Linked DNA regions of Drosophila melanogaster. The protein of the gene in region 1 interacts with the protein of each later gene in a biochemical or structural test. Each region holds a gene or a part of one and is shown on either strand. Other genes may lie near its edges.

What was found.
Region 2: the proteins of RpL5 (region 1) and Fmr1 form a complex in vitro, tested with the Drosophila melanogaster proteins (2 studies listed by BioGRID).

What each region holds. Positions count from the first base shown.
Region 1 is NT_033779.5:22,531,751-22,538,675, forward strand, and holds RpL5 (ribosomal protein L5), read right to left. Parts: upstream 5,135-6,925; 5' UTR 4,790-5,134; coding exon 4,787-4,789; intron 4,629-4,786; coding exon 4,365-4,628; intron 4,305-4,364; coding exon 3,867-4,304; intron 3,844-3,866; exon of another isoform or gene 3,708-3,843; intron 3,314-3,707; coding exon 3,119-3,313; 3' UTR 529-3,118; downstream 1-528. Other genes in the region: CG17490 (uncharacterized protein), read left to right, coding at 6,562-6,925. UniProt on the Drosophila melanogaster protein: Component of the ribosome, a large ribonucleoprotein complex responsible for the synthesis of proteins in the cell.
Region 2 is NT_033777.3:10,107,069-10,111,868, reverse strand, and holds the start of Fmr1 (fragile X messenger ribonucleoprotein 1), read left to right. Parts: upstream 1-1,747; 5' UTR 1,748-2,053; intron 2,054-2,260; exon of another isoform or gene 2,261-2,345; intron 2,346-2,645; exon of another isoform or gene 2,646-2,797; 5' UTR 2,798-2,893; intron 2,894-2,957; 5' UTR 2,958-2,979; coding exon 2,980-3,174; intron 3,175-3,526; exon of another isoform or gene 3,527-3,639; intron 3,640-4,389; coding exon 4,390-4,439; intron 4,440-4,800. UniProt on the Drosophila melanogaster protein: Polyribosome-associated RNA-binding protein that plays a role in neuronal development and synaptic plasticity through the regulation of protein synthesis of mRNAs.

The DNA of each region.
Region 1 (6,925 bases):
TGTGTTGTTGTTGTATTCGATGAGTGTAGACTTCTATACCTTGATTTAGTGTGTGTTTAAAATCTGGAATTATTTTGGCAATATTATTGTCTCCTTTTTATTGTTCATAGTTTTCTTCGGTTGTAAGGTAAGAATGAGAAGTGTACAAAATAGGGAATGTATATTTGTTCCGTTACATATTTCTTATTTAGTTATATTTATATATATATATATTTTTATTATTATTTGTGAATCTCCATCACATTGCGCTTTAGTGACCTATTCGATTCAGTTCGGTTGCGTCCGGCATGTCAAAGTATGATTTGACTAGCCTATGTGACCTGTTCAACCATGTACTGCTTCGGTGTCCAGCGCTATTTGTAATTCACGTTTGCTTGTTTTTTTTTTTTTTTTTTTTTTTGTCGTCCAAAATGGAACTAACTGTGCTTTTATTTTTCAGACTTAAGCTAAGCTAAATGTTTACAAAAGAATTCTAGTGTTCGTTGGCAACATGTATATATCGAAGTGCTGGTGCGGCGGTTCTTGTTTCTTAACCGAGAATTGTCGCAATCACATCCTGTCAAAGTGCTGTGTCTGCATTTGCAACTCGAATCAGCTCATAGGGGCAATGACTGTCTTGGCGGCTTGGCGGGTGGTACCGAATCGTGTATACTCTGTACTGTGATATCGGTAACTCCTCCCCCCTAAAATGAAGTGAATCAGCTCATAGGGGCAATGACTGTTTTGGCGGCTTGGCGGGTGGTACCGAATCGTGTATACTCTGTACTGGGATATCGGTAAGTCGTGCGCTCGGATGTTGAAATAATGGGCAGTTAGTCACAACACGCGAGGAGCCATACGTATGCGGGGATTGACGAGAAGAGTACCGGCGCGAGTCGCGCGGTCAGGACAGTCTAAATAGAGTGTTAAGGCGAAGGCTAGAACGTCCGGCAGTGAGAAGTCACTGAAGATCGAACTGTGAAACTGTCTGGCAATGAGAAACGCACAGACCAAAGAAGGCCCAGTCGAACAGGCACGTGGTCCGTTGTCAAGGAAACTCACTACAACGATGGCAAGGCGATGCAGGAGCAAGGGCGCAAGTGACGGCGATCACCGGAGGAGTCAGCTGTAAAATACTTCAATAAAGCTACTTTAATCTGAAACCCTGTCTTCTTCTCGGTCGGGCAATCACAAAAATATAAAATTGGTGGGACGAACCCACAAGCTCTTTAAGCTAGCCGCTGCAACTCGTACCGAGCAGAACTAAGAAAAACAGTTCATTACACTGGGAAAACTTCAGTAAACACAACTATATGGGATGCAAAGGAAAGGCTATGAGAATTCAAATAAGTTAGTTTGCTACGCAAGGCTCTATCTTTTTGATAGACGTTAGTATTTTAAGGAAGGTCATGGACCACTGCGGATGGTGCAGTGGTCTGGACGGGCCCCTTTTCTTATATTTTTATCCTTGGTTTCCAAGTATTTTACCGCCATAATATAAATATATATGGAAATGGTTAAAAAAAAGCTCATTAGGGACAGTTATTTTAAAAGATGAAATGCCACTTGTGTAAGAAAATTGTATTTTTGAGGGGTCATTTGTGCCGGTAGTCCGGACTCAATATTCACTTGTGGTCATAAACTAATCGGGACAGGTGGATAGAACGGAATCTTTAGCAATCCCAAGCTGGACTCCCATCCGCTGCCGATGTTAGCAACATTTGTGGATTTGCTACGATTTAGAACTGTGATCAGCTGTGGATTCCTGTTGCCAGTGGCTGCGTGGCGTTTCCCTTAGGCAGCCAACCATTAGCGGCTTTCTTGTGCTTTGGAAATTCCTCTAAAGGCTATTAAAATGTGAATCTAGCACAGAAAGGAGATCATCAGCTCAACGAAAACTATCTCTAGCTACGCAAAATTAAAATTAAACTTTATAGTACAGAAAGAGATCAGTTTGCACGATTAGAGGTTTAGATTTTGTTTGGGAGAGCGAGAGAGCGGATCCACAGTGCAGTGCACAAAAACAACATGAAACAGCACTACGCAACGAACAAAAGAGATAGTAAACAAAACACAAAGACAAAAGATTTAGTTAATTTCCTAGTGCAAAAATAAAAAAAAACACACGTAAAGCGAACGGAGTTTTAATAATTATCTTTACAAAATTAAATTATAAAAGAAATTTTTAAAAAAGCCTCCTCTGGAGACCAACCTTTTTCTTTGGGAATATCATTTGAATGGAGGTTATGGTTACTAGATGTTAAAAAAATTATCAGGAGAGTGCTATAGTTCAAGCAAAGACACTAGAATTCTAGGGTCTTTGGTTCAAGTGATCGACTTAGATACTCAGCTTATGGGAACACAAGTAAAACAAAGCTAGTGTGAATGCGAACTCAAATTGAATTATTTTTCTGGGATCTTGATAGATATTAAGAAGTAAAATGAGAAAAAATTTAAAAATTGTACCAAAGTGTGGGCGTGACCGGTTCGGCGGCTTTTGGGCGTTAGAGTAGGCATGGCAAAACGTTTTTTGGCAAATGGCCAAAAATATATGGTTCAAAATGTGGGCGTGGCAGTTTTGTGCAACTTGTGGGCGTGCCAACATGGCTCGAACTTGTGCTGCGTTTTTGTCTCTGGGCAGTCTGTGGGCGTTTACTCGTCATAGTAATTGGCAAGAGTAAAGTGTGAGCGTGGCCCTTTTTTATGCTGTTTTTTTCTGGCCAGAAATGGCTGTGTATTTGAATTAACTTGTCTTAATTTGCCTTTGGAATACATTACCTACCAGAGAAATGTTAAGCAGTGAATTGATGAAATAGTGTTCCACTGCGGCCGAAACCGAATTAAGTACACAAGTTCCCATCTTACCATTAATGACTCTTAATTTGTAATTTGTACGGAGGGATGTGGGGTTTTTCTAGATTTAATACCGATTCAGTTCATTCCTCACTTAAGGTAATTTTGTATTTAGACTAGTATTGCCCCATTTCTGTCACATTTCTCGGCCGCACACTACAGATTGAAATTTTTAAGAAGAGTTTCCCAAATAATGGCTGTTAATTACTACCAATTGTCGCTGGTGTCATTAGAACTGTTTATTTATTTTTACACCAATATAAACTGAAGCTGGTGACGAACACTTTTAAGCCTCAGTTTCAGACTGCAGCTTGGCAACATATGCTGCCTTATGAGCTGCAATCTTAGTCTTCCGTTGCTCGTTTGTGAGTTTCTTAGCATTCCACCTTTTCTTCGTAACGGCAGAAGACTTCTTAGCGGTGACCTTGTGTGTAGGGTCGTTACGAATTGCCTGGTGGGCTTTTTTATAGATATCCTCAAGCTGCAAAACCAAAGTAATGAATTAGACTTTTAATAATTAAATCAAGATCAAATTGTTAAAGCTCATATTTTTAAGACTAAATAATATATATGGTTATCTGAATTTAAATATACAATATTTGATGAAAAGTATGGACCAGGTTGAAAGACAAAGCAGTATATGTAATATGGATCAAGATCGCTAACACAGTCGATACGCAACATAAATTTTGAGAGCTCGGAATCTGAAATTCAACATACAGATGCACGAAGCATAATAAGATCAGCCCTTAAGGCAACAGGAGCATTATCTGCTCGGCTGGTGATCATAATCAAGGCATATATTGTCCAAATATGCTTTTTAACGAACCTATTATGTTATTTAATTCGCGAGTATTTGGATTATAAATTGTATAAAATGTGTAACCATAACAGGAAGTGTGATCCATTGGGAGAAAAACTTCGAACATAGGTTGCAGATTTTATGTTGTCCACTTATGGCACAGTTAGCGTCGTGTGCGAAACGCAGCTGTAATTTTTTAAGTGGACGTCTTGAAAAACTATGTAGTACTTACATCATCAGCACGAATGCCCAACTTGATGTATCGGCTAAACTGCCTTTTGAAGCTCTCCTCATCCTCCTCCTCCAAAGAACGCATATAGTCTGCAACGTGCTGGCCAAATATATGAGCGCGATGCACATCGGCATTAAAGCTCTTGGTTTCAGCAGAGTATCCAGGAAAGCGTTTCACAGAGTGAGGTATGTTTAGACCACCATCAACTGCTCCCTTCATAGCGCCAAACACACGGGCACCAGTTGTAGTACGAGCGAGTCCAACATCCAAGAAGCAACGGAATGCCCCTGGGCCGTCATCAACAGGCTCGACGTTGAACTCCTCACCAGTCACTTCAGTGCATCCTGCATATAGGGAGTCCAGTCCCAACTTGTTAAGGACACGACGGGCGACCAGCAGGCCTGTGCAGTAAGCAGCAGCGTAGTTGGTCAATCCAACCTTAAATAAATATAATGGGCCATCAAGTTGAGTACGCCAGAACGCAGTGGGAAAACTCACCTGGATCCCGTATTTGGGAAGCTCATGGGAATAAGCAGCGCACACCACGCGATCACCCTCGATGCGAGCATAGGCGATCTGTACTGTGATGTCCTTGTTGGACAAACGTACGATCAAACGGTACTTGGGAGTGTTGTACTTGTTCTTGTCCTGAAATGTTAGGCGTTTCCTGGCATAGTAATCGGTCTTTCCTTCGCGACGCCTTCGGAACTTGACTTGGTACCTCTTAAAGTACTGCTTGTTCTTGACTACCTTAACGAAACCCTGCAAAAAATAAAAACAAATGCAACTAATAAGCCAAACTTTTTAGACGCCTGAACACATCATTTTCTCGGCACGACCAAATCACTTATTTCAGTATTTATCTTAATAAATAAATGCTCAATGTTTCGAGTCCATGCTCGCTTTTCTATAGCACCTACCATTTTAAAATTTGATAACAATATAACCGCTAAAATAAAAAAGATTTATTAAAATCACGTGGAGTAGAAATATTTTACACATACCTCGCCGGAAATTGCTAGCAAAAAGAAGGAAAATAGTGCGGCCTTATTGGATCCAAGAAACAAATGTACTAAAAAATACCTTACAATAAAAATAATAAATGCCAATATAAGGCAAGACAGCGTCAAAGGCACAGCACAACTTATGGAACACTTGGAAATGGTGTCCAATTTAGAATTATTTATTTTCGATATTAAGTTGATAAGTTTCCTTTCCAGAATAGTGATGTGGAATCAGATTGACGTAGGTGTTAACATTCAACAACGCAATTTCTTAAAGTACGAAACAAGCGATGTGAACGGTATGAACGATATGACAGGTTTACACTGCTAATCGCATTTAATTTCACTTCAATAGCCATGTGAAGTATGACAATTAGATCAAGTAATGTTGTTAAATGCTACATTGTCTAACTGAGTTGTCTTCACAGATAGGGACGAAATAGAATTTTAAACTGCAATCACTGTACTATAATTTTTATATCCTCTGCTCGAATATATTACGGATTTTTTAATCGTATACTATACTAGATTCAATGAAAAATATGTACAGGTAGAAGGAAGCGTTTCCGATTTTGTAAAGTATATCAGGCATGCTCTGATAATAAAAAAATTTTAAGGGTATATTAAGAGTTGGCTTCTTGATATTGCCCAAAATGTTACCAAATTAGACAAAGGGTGACCCAGGAGGAAGTGTAACATCGGTTAAAATGGTTGGGACGTCCGCTTTAAGCTTCAGAGAAGTGGAAATGTGTAAATGTATAGCTTTCACATTAGAGTGAATATAAGTAAAATTTATAGGCTTGGAAAGATAGGCGAAATTCAATAATGAAATATAAGCCACCTAAACCCAAAAAGACCTAAAACCTAAAAGAAATATTTAACGTCTTATTATACGAATTAGTTGTAAATTAACTTCGACGTGACTACACGAAAATACACATATTTTTCCAGTGAAATCTATAATGAATAGCGCAAGTGTCATGTCTTTCGCTAGGAACTGTAGCATCGGCTTAGAGAATCTTAAGGCCGTTATATCTATTTGAACCAGTTCAGTCTTTCCTTGACCTTAAACACAATGTGACCCAAACCATGTTTCTCAAGTTGTGAAAGTGATAATAAAAAACTACTGGACCGATTAGCAATGCAATTTGTTGTGAAGATCCCGAAATTTTTTGAGCCTTTTTGAAAGTGTTCGTTTCCCCATTTTGCAAACATTTTAGTTCGTCGCCGATAAAAAAACGAGTTTGTTTGGCGACAGTGTTTGATTTGATTATTTCTGACTCAAATGAAATTGTGGCCAAAATCACAAACTAAATAACTAAAACATATAATTGCTTTGGGCAAACATTTATTTAAAAAAAAATATGTCTTCATTCTTCCCTACAAATCGACTGCAAAAATTATATTTGTAGGGTCTAGTATCTGCTTATGACTCGTTCGAATAAAAAAACGTATCTGCCTTGGCAATAAATATAGTGGTTAAATTTAAACCGCCCGACCGATTTCTCGGCTTTAAGTTTGCCTAACGCTTTTGTTCTCGTAATAGTGAGATTAGCACCGAAAATGCTGGGATGTGCTTAGTGGGTCTTTGTTGTTATACAAATGAAGATTAGTTAAGGAACTCTCCTTATAAATAAATAACGTTTTACCGCTTTATACTCGCCAAGGTCGCACTTATAATCACATTAACCATGAACCCGTACAATAAGTTTCAAGATATGGTTTTAAAGCAATGGTTGGTCATGGATGATGCACTTTTCCAAGCATGTGGGTTTTGTCTAGTTGCGGCATCTGATGACCAGTCGGTGTTTATCACTTGGGACAAGTATTATTTGCTAAACATACGCTTTAAGATGCCAGAGGACAGCTGCAGGATAAAAATGACTGCTGTGCGAATTCCTGTGCCTAAAAGTGGAGGAGGCTATATTAGGAGTGTGCATGCTTTGAGGTACAATACGATTCTGCATATGTCGAATGGGGAGTTATACAGCTTTACCTCATTTAAGGCCCTGAATCTTATAAAATGGCTCAATGCAGTTCGTTGTTTAGCTATAG
Region 2 (4,800 bases), on another chromosome or scaffold:
CTTTCGTATTAAGGGTATTGTTGCTCAGAATTTGCTCCAGCAATTTGAGAATGACTAAACTTATTGAATTTTATTTCTATTAATATTCACACTTATGCGCGAATTCTTTATGTTACTATAATTACAAATGCAGTGAACACCTTTTATAAGGAATGTATTATCTTATTTATTATTGAAAAATTTACTTGCCCGAATATTCCTCGCAGTGTATTTTACGTCGAGAGGAAGTGACGTACCTGTCACGATCGAGATTGTCACATTTTGGCAAATAAATTTCACTTGATCCCTCCACGCGGTTAAAATTAGAATTTAAATTAATTTAGTGCCCGAAGTGACCAATTGTTGCACTGCAATTGCACCCGAACCGAATCGTTTCAAATCCGATCGCGAAACGAACATAATGCTAATTGAGCGGGACAAATTCTGGGGTGCGAGCGAGATGGCTAGATGCGAGAGGAGGAGGGGCTGTCGTCGCTGAACTTTCGCTCTTTTGTTGGCCATGTCGACGTCATTAAAGTGCAGTTAATGTGCCAAAAGGTAGAACAAAAGTCAATGTCAAACGGCAGCTGCTCTCATTTTCCTCGGCAGTGGAAAAGCGGTTGAAATAGGGGTGGTTAACTGGTGGGCAAGGGCGCGGGAAAATCAAATCAGAAACTGCATTTCCGCAACAAATCGCCGCTTGACAGTAATTACCGTCAACACGAGCGGTAATTTATGACTATCGAATTGCGAATCTTGATACCCTGTATGGAAAATTGTTATGGGATTTTAACGGAATCTGCCTGCAAATAGGCTGGGAAATGCGAAAATGGCGAGTAGAGGGTATTGCCTTTGCACAGAGACACAGAATTTCCAACTATTCACAGGCATATAAAGGATTTAATGGTTCCCATTAACTGACTGGCCATGAATTTTTATAATTTGTTGGCCCATTTTCACCACACAAATGCCTAAATGGCATGCGATTTAAATACAGGCGAGCTTTTAGACTTGCCCACTTATTAATCAAGAGTAAAGTTCACAAATATAATTCATAAATCTTATTAAGTAGTTCCAAGCAAATATGTGGTTTCATCCTAAATGGAGTACTCCGTCAGATTTCTGCTGTCCGATCCGCTGAAAATTGATGGAAATTGGATTACAAATAGACCGCACTGCACCTTTATCGGCCACTCATAATCAAATGCGTTTCATGAATGGAAGGGCAAAATAAGAAAAAAAAAATAGTAAAAAGCAAATTCAACAAGCGTGTTGACAAAAAGCGCCAGCGACGTCACGCGATTTGGGGGCAATCAAAGGGGCAAATAAAACACCGCATGTGGCAAATTGCGCCCACTGTTGACCCCAGCAGTCGTTGCAATTACATAGACAATTACATTAACATTAAGGCGTAGTGGTCAGCAGTTCTGCAAATTAAAATCGAATCGAATCAATTGAAAAGCCACCAAACATGCGAATCAATCTGCTGATGGGCTAGCAATTCAATTACGTTGTTAGCAGACAGCAAACTAAGTGAGCAGTCAATAGTGTTCGGTTCGTCGACTTCATTTAAATTTTAAATGATCTTATCAGCTTTTTGAATTTCGAATCGTAACCGCCTAGCGCGCTTAAAATACAACCCTGTTTATTGTGAACCCACAACTTATAGTCACTCTGGCAAGGCCCGGTGAGCTGTCACTTAGCAGCCTTGCCACTTTACTGTCAGATCATTTTTCTCTCGCTTTCAAACAAGCCCTGTGTTATAGAGCACAAATCATTTATCAAAAATTTCGTATCTTATTTTCACAAATTTATCGCTTGGGCCAAACACGCCCGAAATCTAGCCAAAACCATCCGAAGTGGCCAGTAACGCGCGCCGATTGTAAACGGGTGGCAACTCCAGTAGAACGTTGCCGAGCTGCGAAAGTGTGCAAAAGCAAAACGAAGAGAACGCAGCGCAGCCGAAAAAAATTGAAGCAGCACTGCACGCGATATATTTTGTATTTTCAAAGGTTAAAGCCGCATTCACAGGCATCCGCCGAGGGCAAACGAAGTGCAAAAGTGCCGGCCAGCAGTAAGTTTTCAAAAATTTGCAGTCTCTTGTGTATTACAGCCGCAAAAAGTGTTGAAAAAATTTTGCAAGAACCGAAAAAAACCAAAAAATTTTGCACATCGTCGGCGGCTGCGACGTCGACGACAGCAGCGACGCCGCCTCTCTGCCGGCAGCGGCAGCAAAAGGGAGCAGCTGAAAGAGGAAAACCGATAAAATACAAAAAGAAAAGTAGAGAACGAGAACGAGAAAAACGGCGAGCGGCTACGCAACGCTGATGTTTCTTCTCTTTGAGAAAAGCGAAAATCGAAAGCAAGTGTGGAAATTATGTGTAAATTCGATATGTAAATTCGGCATGTGCCGTTCGTAGTGTGCGTACAAATTCTTATTGGAAAAGCGTGTTCATCGGTGTGAACGAACGAACGAAGCATTTCGGCGGCGAGAGAGAGAGAAAAAGAGAGCGAGAGCGCACACGCTTGGTGGTGGTCATGTGTGTGTGAGGCGGCGGGCTCACACACACAAAGGGAGAGAGACAAAGAAGAAGAGGAAGCACTGCGCTGCTGCGCTGCCGGCAAAGCCGACGTCGCTGCCGGCTTCGCCGCCAGCTGCATTTAGTGTTTAGCTAGGAATTATCTGGCCCCCAAAATAACTTCAAAATTTTCTTCAACTATTTTTTTTATTAGTGTGTCAATATATAGTCTCCCTCTCCAGATACAAAAATTCAAAAATACCAAAAACAAAACCATTCCATATTATTATTGATTACAGGCAACATTTGAAGCAGCAGCCGCCAAGCAAAAGACTGATTTGAGTACAAGGAACTAGAAGCAGGAACGCGAGGTTTCTGCCACTGCACACTGAATTGTGAGCATACCCACCCATACCTAGCTATATCTATAGCCCTAATATCTCCATTCTTCCCCCTCAGGAGCCCCAGATAACGCGGCAAACTGCAGTCGACGGGGAAAAGTCGGGAGTTGAAGGCTGGGCAGCATCAGCATCAGCAGCAGGAGGGACAGGGACGGACGGCGAAGAACCACCAGAACCAGAACCAAAACAAAGCGGATAAACCAGGAGGCACTACGTCTGGCGATATGGAAGATCTCCTCGTGGAAGTTCGGCTCGACAATGGCGCCTACTACAAGGTGAGTTGATTCAATTGGTGGAATAAAAATGTTGGTAAGGGGGTGACAAAAAAAAAGAAGGAAAAACAGAGGAGCAAGGAGTTGGGGCAGCAGCTGCCTCAGTTTCTAATTTCGTGGATTTTAGCTTTATTTCTATTAATAAACAGCAACATTTTGAGTGGAGTCTCGACATCATCGCCACCACCACCACCACTACCACTACCACTACTACACTAATACCAGCACCATCGCCAATCTGCATACACCAACGCACTCACGCACACTGCGTTGTGGGGGTGCCGACGTCGACGTCGATGTCGATGTCGACGCGGACCGCGCCGCCCACTGCGCTGCCCACTGACGTCGTCGTGCATTCGGTTTTGTTGTTTTGATGATTTCCCTTTCTTGTCGTTGCAATTTATAAAGATAAGATCCGATTAAACCATCTTATATCGCGGTTAAGTGATTTTCGCGGATAGATTACAGGTATACGAGGTTGTTAGATCTCGAATCATTAGTCTTATGAACGAAGTTCAGTCTTAAATCCCATTCATAATGCTAGCTTTTGATGTGTTTTATTGTTCACTGTTTAAACAAATTCAGCAAAAATGTATGCTTATAGGCTTAAATTTTCCAATGATAATATAGACATTTTGGAAACCAGATAACAGTGCACTTAAGAATATTCTTATACTTTCAATTATTGTTCTTAGTACTTATCCCCATCATTAGCTAACCTATTCTGGAAACCTTCTGGATATGTATAGTAAGGTAGTGAATACTTTGCATAGCGTTGCCTTTGATTTCAGTGCTTGGAATCAAAACAAGGGCAATGCACATAAACACACTCGACTAGAGCGACTTCCCTGATGCTGATGATTCAGCTGTCGGCTGTTTGCATTTCGGATAAGGTTCTACGACTACTCGCTTATCGGAGATATACGGTTTCCCTCGCTAATGCCATTGCAATTCTCGATTTCACAATGGGACGGGATTGGGGGGACTATCGTAAAAATATATTTTATATACTTATGCATATACACACATCCGAATGGAGGTATATCATAGGCAATGGCCACATTAATGACACACATTTTTCTCTCTCTACTCCTATGCCTTCCGATGCTGGCCCTGTCAATGCTCTTGTATTTCATCCGTTTGCTGCCTGCCTGCCGCCAACAAAAAACTACAACTGCAAACTAAAAACTACGACGACGACGACAACAACAACAACAGGGCCAGGTGACAGCTGTCGCCGATGATGGCATCTTTGTGGATGTGGACGGGTAAGTTTGTTTAAACAAACAAATCTGCGAACAGGGCAAACAACAACAACTAGAGCGTATTTTCTAACTAATTTGCAACGATTAATACAATCAGAGCTGCAGCAGGAGCAGCAACAACCACCGACGCGACTTCTTGGCATCCGAATTAGAAATTAGAGATTCTGGGCACGCATCATTTGTGTCGTCCGCCATCCGCCAAACCACTTCCCGCCGAATCCCCTACTGCGGACTCACTAATTTGGCGCAATTTGTTAAACGCCAGACGCCGCTGCAGCAGTTTCTGTTGCTATTAGTTGATAAAAAAGAAAAAAAAAATGAGCCAAATCAAATAAAACTGCTGACTGACAGACTGACCAACGCC